Lepisosteus oculatus: one gene and its partner. The protein of the gene in region 1 interacts with the protein of each later gene in a pairwise test. Links are inferred from orthologs where the notes say so. Each region holds a gene or a part of one and is shown on either strand. Other genes may lie near its edges.

Region 1 (7,893 bases):
GCACCCCAGGAACTGAAAGCAGGGCCCCACTGCTGCAAGGCACCACTATGCTGCCCCTGTGTAAATCAATACACCATTGTGTAAATAAGCACCTTAACTTGCATCTTCTAGACAATGTGGGGAACTTAAGTGGCAAACAACGTGCTAGGATATGTAGTTAACAGCTTAGAGTATTTAAATAAAGAGTTATGTAAAAGTGGTCTAACACACTTTTAAGAATACGTTTAGAATATTGTATACAGTTGTGGTCACTTCACTGTAGACAAGATATTGGAGATCAGGAATCATTCCAGGGCTTGAGGGAATAGCTGACACTGACAAGCTGAAGGAACTGAATCTCTTTAGTCATGAACAGAAGGGTCTAGAAGGGGATTTGATACAATCAAAATCCTCAAGGGCCCTGACAAAATCAACCCATGAGATTTCTTCTGAATTAATAGTGAAACAAACAAGGTCTTCAGCTGGAAACTACAGGAAAATGTGTTTAAAACTGAGTGTGGAACAAGCTGCACAGCCTTGTTAAAGTCGAATCCCTGGTTTCCTTCAATTAATGTATGAGATCAATTAATTACTGATGTCAAAACCTGCCAGATGGATGAAACAGCCTCATCTCAAATGTGACCCAACTTTACCAGTTGTGGGAATCATGGTGCTGCTGTGCTGGTGGCACAGTCTGGATTGGAACCAGAAAGCTGGACCACAGGTCTGGACTGGTGCTTCTGACATGAAAGAGGAAGTTTCTTTCTGTGGTGACAGGTTTCATTCAAGTGCTTAAAATTGACCTGGAACAGCTCGTTCTTTCACACAGATGGATAAGAGTAACAGGATTGTTGATTATCTCTGATCGTTTCACAGTGCTGAATCACAGACCATGTGAACTGCTCTGTATCTGTAGGGTGTCCCACCCACTATCCCAGATAGGAATGTACAGATGTACTAAAATGTAAGACCATACATCCAAGATTTTCACTCCTTTCTCTCTCTGTCTCACACAGACAAAACTAATGACAGCACACACCTCGGTCAAGAGTAGCGTTAATGTACCGGAGTGTCCATCGTCCATCGTCCGTATCTCTCTCGACCCTGCAGAACATCTGTGCTTCAAGAACTACTGATGTAAACGTCTGCATTATGAACACTACAGACCATGGTTTAAACTCTGTTGTGTTTAAGAGGTGGGGTTGGGGTGATCAAATAATTGGCTAAACTAATTATTCTCTTTTAATGTGAAGGGACTTGCTTTTAAGCTTAATTGTATGGATTCATCTTTTACAGAAATGTAACTTGCTCGGCCAATTCAGGCAGTTTCATATTAGTTGTGTAGATTAAACCATTAACTTATCTGGCTGATGAGCTCCAGAACACCTAAATTGCACCTGTACAAGCTTCAGGACATTTTCAAAACCAGAGCAGAGAATTTTAGTTTGCAATAAACTTCTGTCCATGCACTTTTATTGCTTTGGAACTCTTATGTTCCATAACGAATTTGCGGACTTAATTATTACTGCTGTCTTGTCTTGAAATAGTATTGTTGAATTAATTCGGTCATTGATCAAGTTAAAATTCTTTAATAAAAAGGTCAGTTTTTGTCATCGTTGCATTTTAACTGTTCAAGGTTACAGTGCCTTGCAAATATATTCACACCACAATCCAATGATGGGATCATTAATAAACACTTTGTTTTAAGGCGATTCAAGAGTGCGGGAGGTTCTGGTCTGAACCACATTCCCCAGAAGGCAATGTACAGTAACCCACCTTCCTAAGTCACCTAACCTAGTGGCACAAGACAGTGATTTGGGCGACTTTGATAAGCAAGGAATTAGAGAATTCCCATAGCCAATAACATCTGCTCTTCAGGAAGAGGGCAGAGCCTCTCTTATTGCCACAGCAGAGGGAGAGCAACTGAGAAATGTCTCAAAAACCCAAATATCATTCTGCAGGCTCATCAGTGGCTCAGGCATAGATGGGGGGGAGGAAGAGATTTGGGCAATAGGTTGCCATCTTGGGGAACTCCAAAAAGTGCAGTGCATTTTTTTTTAAATGTAGGAATTTGCAAACGAATGCTGGATTTGGGTCAAGCGATCGACCAACTTCATTCTGGATAGAGAACCATTTTTAGTCTGTTTTTGTTGACAAGGACAAGTGACAGTGTTCATCTTTTGATCTGAAGTACAAGTTTTACTTCACTTGTATCCAGTATCAGTCGGTCCACAGCCTGTCTGCCTGCACCACTGGTTCCCCGAGTCCCTGTCAGGCTTCAGAATCCTCCCTGCCTGTCCTGCTCAGTCCCCCTCGCCCTCATCCACATCGCTGTTCCAGCTGACAGCTTAAGATCCGCTGCTGGTCTTACCATCAGTGGGATTGCCACACATATAGTTAGAAATGATTCTCAGATCTATAAATGAGAAGACAGTCCTGAAGTACAGACATATTCAGGTTAGAACCACAATGAAACTAATCCGATCCAGACAATGAGAAATAGTCTTTTAGGAGCCTAGAATGACTAGACACTACAGTATATTAACACAGCATTAAGAGAGGTTAACAAAGACATGGTGTCTGATCGGACACTATTTTAGCATGTATACATTGCCTTTTCAAACTTTTGATTTTTGATTTTTTGGCAGGCGAGCGGCTTAGCCACAAAACTGGAAAATTGAGCCAGATTTTGTTCTTGAGGAAACAAATGCTTCTCCTGCATTTCAAACGCATCCTAAAGAGCAGCAAATGTGTCGAAAAATGTCTCAGTGGTGTTGAAACCCTAACCCTACCTCAGGCTCCCTAGAACACGTCCCAAAAACCCTGCCTAAGTCACCCACGTTTTGAGAGCCACCCAAATGACTCCAAATTAGGCAGAAACATTTAAATCAACAGTTTCAGCCTTAGACTGGACACTACTGTGAAAAACACCAACCCCTACATGAAACCCAGAGTCAGCACTTCACCCAAATAGAAGTGCACATTCTGCTCATCTGTCACTGGTTGATTGCAAAGCCCACCAGGGCTCTTAAGAAGGGACCACTAGTACCTTTCAGAGAAGCCTGCCCAGTTCCAAAAGAAGTCCTTCAAAGACCTTCATTTCCCTCTTCTCACATGGAAGAACTCTTAGGTCCCCTATTCCACTGCGAGAGCTGGAAGAGACGTATTCCTTACAAACTCCCAAATTCGCTTTTTCTTCTGTGCAAAATACACCTCTTTCCTCTCCTTCCCTGGCACACTCACCATGGCTAGTGTTCCTTTACCAGGAAGAAATCCGTCTTATTCCCACTTGCACAGTGGGACACCCAGTCAGACCCACCCTTTCCTACACTGGGAGGAACACACGAATCAGTAGGTCTTGGGCGAGACGGGGGGCTTCACTCACTGGCACCCACTTTTCCCCATTATAAAACACCAGTCTGTCACTCTGTTGAATTCCAGGTAATCCAGGAATACAGGACACACTCTACCATTGGTTTCTGTACGGTCTGTGGAGGCATCTTTCTTTACTAAAGCCACTCATCAAATCCTTCCAAGGCTTCCTGGTCTCTAACTTCAAGACTAGAACTGAACCTAGGGCTGCCAGCCGATAAAACACAGGAGCACAATGAACATTAAGTAAGTTAAACACATTGTAAGTAACTATTACTCCTAAACAATTTTGCAAATGATTACACTCTGGGTGGAAGTGACATTTCCTTACATTCTGCGTACAGGTCTGATTTCCCCTACATTTTCCCCAAATACCTTTTGTGTAGGCTTCCACAAACTTGCGTCCTTGACAGAACACCAAACCTCCATTCTCAGCCCACAGTCAATGCAGGAATGCACTTAAAAATACATAACTTCCATCTTCACAAAATGAAACTGGTATTCTCCAAGCACAGGTCAAAATGCCATCATCATCATCCTCCTCCAAGACTCTCACCAGATCACCTTAATTAGACAAAGCCAAGACAAGCATGTAGCAATACCCTCCTCCATCACTGATCCATTTAACATACAAGCAGAAAGATCAGTCAGTTTCTCCCATTCAAACTGATCAAACCCTCATCCTTCTTCCCTTCTATCCTCACCCAAAAACCCTCCTTACAACCTTGCAGACATAAAATTAATATCAAACCCAGCTCCCCTCAGCAGAGTAACTAAACAGTACATATCTGACACTTTGATCCATAACTCTCCTGTAACACTTTTCTTGATACACATACACACACACACGAGGAGTTGGACATTTGGGACCCTATGCAGTAGTCTCCAGGCACAGCAGGAGGGAGAGTTACACAGTGATGCTTACACAGGGGAGAGGAGAAGCAACCAAGGACATAATTCTGGTAGTAGCCATCCCCTTGTTCCTAAAACACAGCCTACCTTCCTCTCACCATGAGCTGCAAGAACTGAGAGACAGCTCCCTGCACTCTGCACCTGCCTGCTGATATACTGACAGCTGCTACTCCTGGAACTGGAATGTCCAATTAAACACACGGCCAATCAGCTGAACCCTTTTCAGCCTGTGAAATTCCAGTCAGTCAATCAAGGCAGGTGTGTCCCACCTTTCTGCAGTGAAGGAAGAGGCTTTAACCATCACAACTACAGTACATTAACACTGCACTGAGAGAGGGGTTAATACAGTACAGACACACTGACTGGACACTCCAGGACATTAACACTGCACTGAGAGAGAGGGGTTAATACAGTCCAGACACACTGACTGGACACTCCAGTACATTAACACTGCACTGAGAGAGAGGGGTTAATACAGTACAGACACACTGACTGGACACTCCAGTACATTAACACTGCTGAGAGAGAGAGAGAGAGGTTAATACAGTCCAGACACAGAGAGCCGACAGTAGAGAGAAGTGCTGAGTGAGCAGTACAGTAGTGCAGGAGGAAGGAGGGGGAGGAGTAAAAGAGCAATGCGCACAGCCATTCTGCCTGAGGAGGAGAGTGACAGCGTGCTGAGACCTGACATACAGCTGCCCCCGCAGCTGGCGAGAGATCAGGTGTGTGTGAGTGAGACCTCGTGACTGTGGTGTTTTGTAACACAGGGTGTGGCACTCAGGACTTGCTAGTGAAGGACTCCCCCCCTGCAAGCTGAAGGGAGTGGCACACAAACTCTTTGCACACCACAGCACCACAGAGACAGAGGAGAGAGGCTGAGAGGGAGGAGAGGAGAAGACAGGGCGGGACTGATATCGCTGCTGTGAGCCAAGGAGGAAGGTAAGATCAGTTCCAAACTCAGCCCCCACCCCCCCGCCCCGATCTCTGTCCTCTGCTCCTGCTCCGCACTGAACACTGAGATGATGTCTGCTCTCTCCTCATTGCTCTGTTCAGCTCTGAGGCGTATGAAACACTTTCTAGGCCCTGTGCTCCACAGTGTGCCCAAAGCTGTCAGTGCTCTGTGCCCCACAGTGTGCCCAGAGCCGTGTCAGTGCCCTGTGCTCCACAGTGATCAGAGCTGTGTCAGTGCTCTGTGCCCTACAGTGTGCCCAGAGCCGTGTCAGTGCCTTGTGCTCCACAGTCATCAGAGCTGTGTCAGTGCTCTGTGCTCCACAGTGTGCCCAGAGCTGTGTCAGTGCCCTGTGCTCCACAGTCATCAGAGCTGTGTCAGTGCTTTGTACCCCACAGTGTGCCCGGAGCTGTGTCGGTGTTTGGGGCTCCACAGTGTGCCTAAAGCTGTCAGTGCTCTGTGCCCCAAAGTGTGCCCAGAGCCGTGTCAGTGCCTTGTGCTCCACAGTCATCAGAGCTATGTCAGTGCCTTGTGCTCCACAGTGTGCCCAGAGTTGTGTCAGTGCTCTGTGCTCCACAGTGTGCCCAATGCTGTCAGTGCCCTGTGCTCCACAGTCATCAGAGCTGTGTCAGTGCCCTGTGCTCCACAGTCATCAGAGCTGTGTCAGTGCTTTGTACCCCACAGTGTGCCCGGAGCTGTGTCAGTGTTCGGGGCTCCACAGTCATCAGAGCTGTGTCAGTGCTCTGTACCCCACAGTGTGCCCGGAGCTGTGTCGGTGCTCTGTCCTCTGTACTGTGAAAATAGGATTGTGTTTTCTGTATTCTAAGACAGCTACAATATATCCACCTACACTTGAGGCCACAACCCCACTCCACCTGCCTGCTTTGAGCTACAAAGGAGCGATGTGCCTTTAAGAGGCCTGTGGGTGGAATAAAGGGGAGGGGCCTGTGCTCCGCCCCCCAGGGCCAGTTGATTAGTTCTCCTGCAGAGCTCCGAGCAGACAGATCGAGTGTGTGGTGTTGTTCTCCCTTGTGTGGTGTCTCTCACTTCAGACCCTTGCTGTTGCTAGAGTGGCTTTGTCGTCCTTTCAGCTGGTTTTGCTGAGCCGGACGTTGATGGCCACTAAAGAAACAGGTGCTTGTTTCAAATGCAAGACTTGTCTTTTGGGTGTTGTGCTTCTCGAATGAGGCTAGTCACAAGTCCAGCTCACTCTGCCAGAGCCAGGGCTGCACATATTCTCTCCCTCTCCTCATCTCCTTCTGTTCTGTGTGCTGCAGGTGAACTATTGCCCAGCTCGCTGACCTTTTGCAAAACAAGCCCTTCTAAATAGCGTCCCAATTCTAATAGAGTGTGAGGTGTTCGAATTTAACAGCCACTGTCCTGCTCAGCACGTCTGCAGGCGTGACAGACGATGCCCTATTGCCCCCAGACAGTCAAGGCCAAAGTCCACTGGGCATTCTGGCACAGGGGCTCCTGGATTAGTGAGTTATGCTTGTTGGCACAACCCTGTCTGCTCTGCGCACAGGTACGTGCAGGAGGACTGAGAGAGCAGCAGAGGGAGAAGAGATCTCCCCACGGCCAGTGTGAAAGGTAAGACTCTCAGCGCCCACGGCAGAGAGAGAGAGACTCCTCTTCACTTCATTTAGTGTTTGACTTCTGTTCTCTTCTTTGGGCAACATGCACAGAGAACATGCACAAAAATGTGATCCAGATTCATTTGTTCAGGGTTTAGAACTGTTTTGCCTTTCAGTTTGATTTTGGTACGGTTCTGTGCTAGAGGCCAGTGTGACAGCAGCTCATCTAATTTCTGTATCAAACTGCTTACTGCTGAGTAGACCAGACTTCCCCTTCCCCAGCAAGACTCCCCCAGGCCAGCTGACGGGTACCCATGAGTCCATGATCCTCCTGGATCGCCGAGCTCTTTTAGCTAAATTCACACGCAATCACTCTGAACTCCCCAGTCTTCCTCTGGGTCTGCAGACTCCGTCTCCTGATGTATGTCTTGGTTAAAGTGTGTGTTAAGATCACCACCCTTTTCTACATGTACTGAACACTTTGAAGCACAGACTCTGGCTTTGTGTGTGCACTGACAGGCTGGAAGAACTGAATCTCTTTTGTCTTGAACAGAGTGGTCTCGAGGAGATCTAATAAAAGGATTCAGAAACCTTAAAAAAAAAAACTAACTGATAGTAGGAGGCACTTCTTTACACAACAGGTGGTGGGGGTGTGGAACAAGCAGCCCCACCATGTTGTTGATGCCGATACCCTGGCTTCTTTCAAGAAACAGCTGGATGAGATCCCCAGATTAACTCTTAACTATCAAATGAGCAGAATACCCTCCTCTTGTTCATGACTTGAATATTTTGTGTTTTTGGAATTCAGTCATTCATGTCAAATATGACGTAGCTCTGTGCAATGTTATTAAGATTACTCTATGAGACTATTAGAAGTAATACTTCTAACTGATTTTTGTGCAATATATTGATAATGTGCAATACATCTTTTTGTGTACTGTACTTTCTGGTTCGTTTTGTATCTTCTGTACTGTGAACAATTCTGTATACTCCATTTTTTTTCCTTTTTACTGCACTTCTCACTGACTGTACTTACTGTATTGTATTGTGTATTATTGTATCATTTTGTTACACTGTGCTGTGTTGACTGTCTCAGGCTGCTGTTGC
Region 2 (7,954 bases), on another chromosome or scaffold:
TGTGGAGAAAGGTCCATCCGTTTCCGCCCGGCCCTGGTCTTCAAGGAGTACCACGCGCACCTCTTCCTGAATATCTTCGGCGACATCCTGGCGGAGTACAAGTAGGCGCCGGGCATCTCGGCGGAGCGACGCACAGGGTCCACGTCCCGAGGGAAGAGAGCTCTCGGACATATCGCCACAAGGCCCCCTCCCCCCCCCCGTTCCCGAAGCAATCATCACATCACGGAAAACATGTTTCTCCCAACGACACCCGCATAAACACCGGATTTCAAAAGCAGCCCCGAAAAGGGCTGCGGCAAACTCAAAATCCATTGTCGGCTGGACAAGGAGGGTTTGTTGTTTTTAATTGTACGGAAAACCCGTTTATTTGGGGGCATCGCCCTCTTACCAAGGGAATTTTGTTAGCCATTTCAGCATTGTTTCTTTCAAAACAATGTTACAGAGAGCAATAGAAGCAATATACTGTATACTCCATCATTACTGGCACAGTACCCCCTTTTTAGGAGACTATGGGCAGAAGGCAGCTGGCATATTGTGACGGCAAGATGTTCTGCACTTCTGAAACATGATCTACCACCTGATATGCGTCAGAAGGAGGTTAGGTGGATGCCAACCTAAATGTACTGATGGGTCTTTTAAAATACGCCTGATGGTTTAAATGGCACAATTCAAGTAGGCGTTACTGAACCTCCTCCAGTGCAGGCTTGAATTGACAGGACTTGGGGGACGCTCACAGAGGTGGGTGGCTTTAAAAAAAAAAAAGTGTTGTCAAAAGGCACAAGACATGCAGTGTTGGAAAGGTGCTGGTAAAGAATCTAGCCGGGAGTGTTCACACATTCACAAAACGCTGGCTTCTTCGGAATTGCAAAGATAAATTCTAAGAAGGAACTCAATAGCTAATATCACCGAATTTCACCGTAAGGCTTTTATTACACTATAAAGATGCCCAGGCTCTAGAGCTCGAATATTCCTTTTACAGTCCAGCTCCACCATGCACATTTATAAAATGGGTTGCCCCTTAGTTCATATTTCTGTTTTATTTATGCCTCTGTTTACCAAGAAATTCTTTATTGAAGCCAAGAACACGATTCAAAATGAATCTCCACTAATGATTTGGAGTCCTGTTTATAAAGCTGGGCATTTTACTAAAGTAATTTGCAATGTCCCACTTGGGCATTAAACCCACGATCAATGGAAGATGAAGCTAATAAATATTTTGTAATCGTGTCATACAGCAGTTATCACATTAAACGTAAGACAAATGATGAACATTTTGCATCCTTCACACACTAATCACTTGTCAGTCATGTACACGCACAAATATATTAACTCCTTTAATCAAACCTATTTTAATGTTTAAAGTGGTTTCCTTTTATTGTTTTAATGTTGATTCAATGTCTTAATTGTTCCTGCTCGGGTGAAGAGTGCAGGAACACTCCGAGTTTCTGAACAGAGGTGGTTAATGTCTGGTTTTTATTTTAAGAATATGTACTGGCCATATGTGAATGTGTGGAATGTGAAAGCCAGTCTGTGTAGAGACTTCTGTATCTCGTGATTCCTGCCTGTTAAAAATAGACAAATGATAAGAGTGCATTTTTGTTTACAATGTTCTGTGACCTAAGCGGTGCCAAAAGTTGGTGTAATTTACTAAAATAGGTCTCATTCTCGTTGGAAAAAGAAAATATATCTGAATTCTAAAATAAATCTTAGACATTTTGATTAACTTAAGTGTGATTTTGTTCCTACCTGCACTCTTTCCCGGTGGTAAGCTGAACTGTGTACTTGAATATCTCCTTGCACCTTTTGTTCCTAAGCCTGAAATTAACATTCACACAAAAATAAGAGGGCAGTGGGACCTTTTTCACCCTTGGATACACATTTTATACAGATTTACTACTAACAATAAGACTGTCGCATGTACATGACAGTACTATTTGACAGTTCGGTGCTTTCTTTCGGTGTACCCATCCATGTTGTCAGAGCCGATACTCCGAAACACTTCTTGCAAAGATAAGCTGGACAAGACGCTCACACCTACTAACTACGATATAGGCTAGGAGGTTCAGAGGTTCATTTGCAACCTTTCTTACCATTTTAAAGCACATATATCCCTGGCTATGGCTCCCAAATTAGAGGTGTTTTATGACTGACAGGAAAAGATGCACCTGCACAGAGGGAAACTGACCAGGTCTAGTGCAAATGATCACATTACTCCTATCCTGGAGTCCTTGCACTGGCTTCCTGTCAAATTCGGTGTGGACTTATAAATCCTCATGCTCGCCTACAAGGCTCTGCATGGCTTGGCACCTCAGTACCTGTCTGAACTATAATCGCCCTACTTCCCACCTCGCAACCTTCGCTCTTCTAATTCTGCCCTCCTTACTGTCCCCCAAGCCCGTCTACACTGTATGGGTGACAGGGCCTTCTCCTGTTATGCCCCCAAGCTCTGGAACTCTCTCCCCAAGGATATCAGAGAGTCTCCTTCTCTAAACTCCTTCAAATCCAGACTCAAAACCCTCTTCTCCAGAAAAGCCTTTACTGAACTGGTTCCATTCTTCACCCCTCTGCTTTTCCTAGTACCACCATCCACGGTCTCCTCTATATATTGTAATTGTGTTTTATCATGTGTATTCTTTTTATTTATTGTTGTTGTCATTCTGTAAAGTGCTATGAAAAGCCACCTTTAAAGGCGCTATATAAAATAAAGTTTATTATTATTATTATAAACTGAGATATGCCCATTCATGCAGACGGCACGGCTGTGGAGTGTGGGAGTAAACGGGAGCACCAGGCAAACGCCCACAAGGTAGCCGAGGACCCAGACAAGCTGGACAATCGAATCCAGCACACAGGTGTAGAGGCCGCAGCGCGGTCGCACCAAGGAAACCCAAGAAAAAGGATTCTCTTCCGCGCAGCACTCGTGCACATCCCATTTCAAGTGTGGAGTGGCGGTCAGGGCTCCGGCCTTGTAACCGGAAGGGTATGGGTTCAAATCCCAAGCCAGACATTGTTGGTGTAGCCATGGGTAAAGGTGCTGCTCCCATAAAATACATTCGTACCCATTTATAGCGCTAGGTAAGTCAATTTGGGTTAAATTAATCTTTAATTCATACACATACTTTAATTCATGATCTAATTAAGCACACAAGAAGGCCTTTTTTCAACACTATATTACATACCACCACTATATGCAAACAGTGTCAGAGGTCCAGCCCCCGACCCAGATAGGTCCTGTTCTTTTTCGGCATCTTCACCCGGCGGCTACAGATCAGCCTCCCGGCCGGAGAACGATTTGCAAAGCTGGGCCGTAAGGAAATGCCAAAGAGCAGCACCGCTACAGGCATTCCCAGCCAAAACATCCACGATTCTAGTCACTGCAATACTGGATAGTGGCAGTTTTCCTCCGACAGATTAAGTCAAGTGTTTCATTCTGCCGATCCTTCGCCTTTCACCGGGAAACCATTTTAAAACAATGCTTTCTTTGGAGTGTCAGGGGACAGGACCAAAGACTTCCACGAATGCCCGTTTGTCCACAACCTGTCCCAGGCGAATGGTGAAGTACAGGACCTCAGGGTGGCTGTAGCGCTTAAACCGCAGCAACATCTCATTGTGGGGGTCCCCCGTATCCCCGAGGGTCATGATATCCGCCACCGGGACATACTGATCCCGTCTTTGACCCCAGAAGGTCAGGTGGGATACCTTCAGGACGGTTTTAGAGTTGTTAATGTACATCATCCCGATGATGTGCCGGAGGTAGTGGCTCAAAGAGAACAGCATCACGGTGGCAAAGACAGCAACGCCTGTGGCGTAGCTGACGAGGGTGCCGGAGCACAGTCCCTGCGAGAACAGGTAGTATACAGGAGGCAGCGTAACCACGGTGATCCCAGTCTGGAGCAGCTTGAGTCGGGACACTGCCCTGAGGACCCTGATGGCTGGAAGCCTGTAGATCAGGGAGAATTTCTCATTGGAGCGGTTTTCATTGGAGCGGTCTTGGTGGGCTCCAGTTAGCAGCTGGCTGTGCACCCTAAGTGTGGTCCATACTGTGCGTTCCTGCATCGAAGCGAGGGGACGGCGTTCGTGCTGGTGAGGGGTGAAGGAACGGCCACCGACCAGACATCTCTCACGATGCGCTGAAGCAGAAGCGCCGGGCCACACACACGGCGAAGCACGAACGGTTCGCAGAGACAGTATTGATCTGTACTTTAAAGGAGATAAGCGGGGGAAAAGTTTGCTTATTATAGACTCGTGTACTTGACTAATTTATTGTTAATAATGAATAAACCCAAGCATGAAGGTTAAGACACAGACCAAGATTAACATGTCAAATACCACAAAACAGGTGAACTAGCTAACAGTATTCTATTCGACTGGGCTGTAATAAACGTGTCACAATCACAAACGTCTCTTCACACATATCAGAGCAACCCTCCTGAGCATAATAAAAGTATTTGCTAAACAATGCATCATCCTAAACGTAATTGCTTCAGATATTAAAAGGAACGATGGTGCAAAGTCAATTACCATCACAGCAGACCGAAGTTGCAAGCCAAGAGGGATGACATCATAAACGCTCCGGGGGGAAACAAAGCCTTCTTCGACAGAGTACCGAATTCATCGAATTCCCCCTGATCCTTATTTTTTTAAGAACGTTATTGAATCAAACAAAATCGTGTATATGATACTGCTTACTATTAACCGCAAAACGGACATACATTGTTTTTCTAGAGTTCGGTTACTTCAACCATCTCTAAAATAATGTCTTTGTAGTCCACATCCGGACTCGCTAGCTCATTTCCGCCGATGGTGAACCGAAACTGTACTACATGTCCCAGAGTGACACGTAATCTTTTCCTGGTGGAAGAGGTCTAGTGTGACTGTGATATTTGACTTTATTTTCACGTTAATCACAATCAAGACTATCTTTTCATTATTTGAAACAAGCAGTCAGACAGTTAAGAAAATGGCACCATCTGGGAAGGATACGACAACCCTCTGCTTGTTCGATGTCGATGGGACTCTAACTGCAGCAAGACAGGTGAGTTGTAAATATTTCGAGCTGGTTTTCCTGAAATGCTCGTTCTTCTTTGGAGAAGCTAAAGATGATCCTGAAAATGTGAAGGGGTCGTCGCGGGATGCTGGGGTATTCAGTTTCAGAAGGCGCGGATTAATGAGGATGACGAGAACGTTTAAATCAGCAAAAATAAAGACGTGTTTCCATTCTGATCTTTCCAAGCCAGTCACTCTGATGTCGAAGTGGCACCGTTGATTTTAGTTTCTGGCTAGCTTTTACGAACATATTTAGACAACACAGAAAGAAAAGGGAAAAGCAAACTGACTTAGAGTTCTTTGAACAATCAACAGTAATCAATAGTTAAAAATAGGGTTTTTCGTTCTTAAATTCTTATGAAACTTTCCCCTCCACAGAAAGTCACCCCTGACATGGATGAGTTTCTTCAGAGGCTGAGAAAGAGGGTGCGAGTTGGAGTAGTTGGGGGATCTGATTTTGAAAAGATCAAAGAGCAGCTCGGAGCAGATGGTGAGTATTGACAAGCCATTAATCATATTGATTGATTAATCATATTGCAAGTCAGTTGGAAGATGAGTGATGGTAATTTGCCCACCCTGAGGCAAAAGCAATACAATGACTTTGTTGTGATCTAGGTTAACTATCTGAAGCCAATCCAGGCTATTAATGCTGTTTTTTCTTTAATAATTATAAAGTATTACATTTAGCAGCTCCAGAATCTGTACAAATGCATGATATTTGTAGGAAGGTACAAGCAACCATACCTGCTGCTAAATGCATCCTTTGTTGTAAAGATATTGTATTTCACATTTGAACCTACACTGGGAACAAAGCCTTGTAAATCTAAGGTATTGTAATTTATGCCTATTTGATCTGAAGATTTTTGAGTGGAGGGGTTTTTAGTACAATTACCTCTCTGCAGGAAGGCTCTCAGGTGCTGGTCAAGACTGAAAGCCTGAGATAATGATCAGTGTAGCTGCAGTATTTGTAGGATATAGCATTAATAACTAAAGTATTAGTATAGTATTAGTAACTAAAGTAGTGTATACAAGGAGGAGAAAAAAAGGTAAATGTAAGAAATTCTGTGCATATGATTATATACGATCTCCAGTCTGTTCACTTTGCACAGATAATTATAAACCGCAATTTAAAATGAGCTGATGGGTTTTTTGACAGTCCAGACAACGTCATACATTTCGGGATTGAAAAGCGGCGAATTAAACTAACACCGCTTAAATCACGTTTCTTAATGAGTAATATGAAAATAAACTACGTGTAATTCATCTAGTTAGACATTACCACGTTTTTACACGCACTGTTACTCCAAACGATTGAGTGGTTGTAAGCGTTTCCGTGCAGAGCTATTAAATTTCCATTTAAAGAGATCTATTGGCATTACCAGTGGACTATAATTTGACCAAAGTAATGACATTTTCAAACGTTCAGAACAACAATTAAATGTTAATTTGAGAGGCTCACCGTGTATCTCAGCCAATCAGAGGGCTGCCTGTGATGGGCGTGACGTGGGTGTGTCCGCTGTGCGCAAACCGGATTGCAGGAGATTGAACCTTGACGTCTTTAAAGGTTCATTACAGTTCACCTGTTTGTTCCTGTTTTCCTACCACCATGTATAGGCGTTCAATTATAAAATCTGCATTTCCGTATTAAGAGAATAGGATTCATTTTGGGCCCAGTTTTTTGTTCAATAAAATACGAGACGATTGTGGTTTGCACAGCGTGTTCATGGGCAGGTAAACATCAAAAACGTCAAGAATAGCCCCGCAAAATATGCCAGCGCTATTAATAATCGTAGCTGAGTGTTCCTTATAAAACGTATATTGCCCTGACAGGTTGACTAACGTTTGTTCAAAGTGAAGGAGATGAAGGAGTTTAAAGAAAGCACAAAGTGACACTATAAAATACTCTCATCAATGTCTGCTCTTCAGAAGCACATAAATCGAGACCACGTTTTCCATGAAACATCAATATTCACTATCCAAAGAAGATTCAGATCACCTTTGTTCATTTTATAACATTTACTTGTTTTGGCTAATTAAGAAGTATTGTCCTTTGCCACAGAATGGCTAGTGAGATTTGGTGGGCCTGCAATCAAATTAGTAAACTACCCAGCTGTATAATTGGGTACAAGTGAAAGTTGCTTTGACTGAAAGCATCAGACAAATGAATTTGTAATATTTAATTCCTGCTCATCTGACTCTGCCCTGTGTTGGATTCAGCTGAGAAATCGTTATGAGAAAGGACTCAGTGAACACGGCAGGGGTGTGCTAATGGGCGAGATGAGAAGATGGGAATTGTGCACAGCACCCTGGAGGCCACAGCATCAAAGCAAAGCCTTCTGCCTGTACAGCTCTGTTCAGTTTAATGAGCAGGGGGCTGTCACAGAGTCTGTATCTCTGTGCCCAGTGCCTTATCAAAAGTGAAGAGCAGGCACCTAATGGTACAAGGAGTTCTCCTTCAGTTTGCTTATTTTGATATTTCATCTTGTCTAGTCGAGTACAGAAAGCCCACTCTGCCTCTTCTTCACAGCCCAGTGTCTCTGCAACAACCAGTGCAAATCTCCCAGAGAAGCTGTTGTGTCAGAGATGTTGGGCTAGAAAACCCAATACTTTCCACAGAGCTGTGCAGAAGGAGAGCTGTTCATTGCTGTTCTTTATCACTGAACCTTTTTTTGTTGGCAGTGGTGGAAAAGGTGGATTATGTGTTTGCTGAGAATGGATTAGTTGCCTACAGAGATGGAAAACTGTTGTCTGTTCAGGTAGGGATCATCTCCTGACAACCTTAAAACACAAACTGACACCGCTGAACTGCTAATACCAGCTATAGAGCACGGCATCATTAGAAATGACCATAATATACTTAAATCATATTAAGAGAATTGTCATGGAACATGTTGGAAAAATGAACTTT

What was found.
Region 2: the proteins of N-acyl-aromatic-L-amino acid amidohydrolase (carboxylate-forming) A-like (region 1) and pmm2 interact in binary tests that used the Homo sapiens proteins (3 or more experiments, as listed by UniProt). The two-hybrid records come from large-scale screens. The link is inferred for Lepisosteus oculatus from reciprocal best matches to the Homo sapiens genes ACY3 and PMM2.

What each region holds. Positions count from the first base shown.
Region 1 is NC_090701.1:44,666,164-44,674,056, reverse strand, and holds the start of N-acyl-aromatic-L-amino acid amidohydrolase (carboxylate-forming) A-like, read left to right. Parts: upstream 1-4,881; 5' UTR 4,882-5,202; intron 5,203-6,737; 5' UTR 6,738-6,802; intron 6,803-7,893. UniProt on the Homo sapiens protein: Plays an important role in deacetylating mercapturic acids in kidney proximal tubules. Also acts on N-acetyl-aromatic amino acids.
Region 2 is NC_090714.1:13,663,639-13,671,592, reverse strand, and holds the start of pmm2 (phosphomannomutase 2), read left to right. Parts: upstream 1-4,825; 5' UTR 4,826-4,960; coding exon 4,961-5,035; intron 5,036-5,424; coding exon 5,425-5,536; intron 5,537-7,725; coding exon 7,726-7,802; intron 7,803-7,954. Other genes in the region: abat (4-aminobutyrate aminotransferase, mitochondrial), read left to right, coding at 1-105; tmem186 (transmembrane protein 186), read right to left, coding at 3,490-4,200, 4,522-4,524. UniProt on the Homo sapiens protein: Involved in the synthesis of the GDP-mannose and dolichol-phosphate-mannose required for a number of critical mannosyl transfer reactions.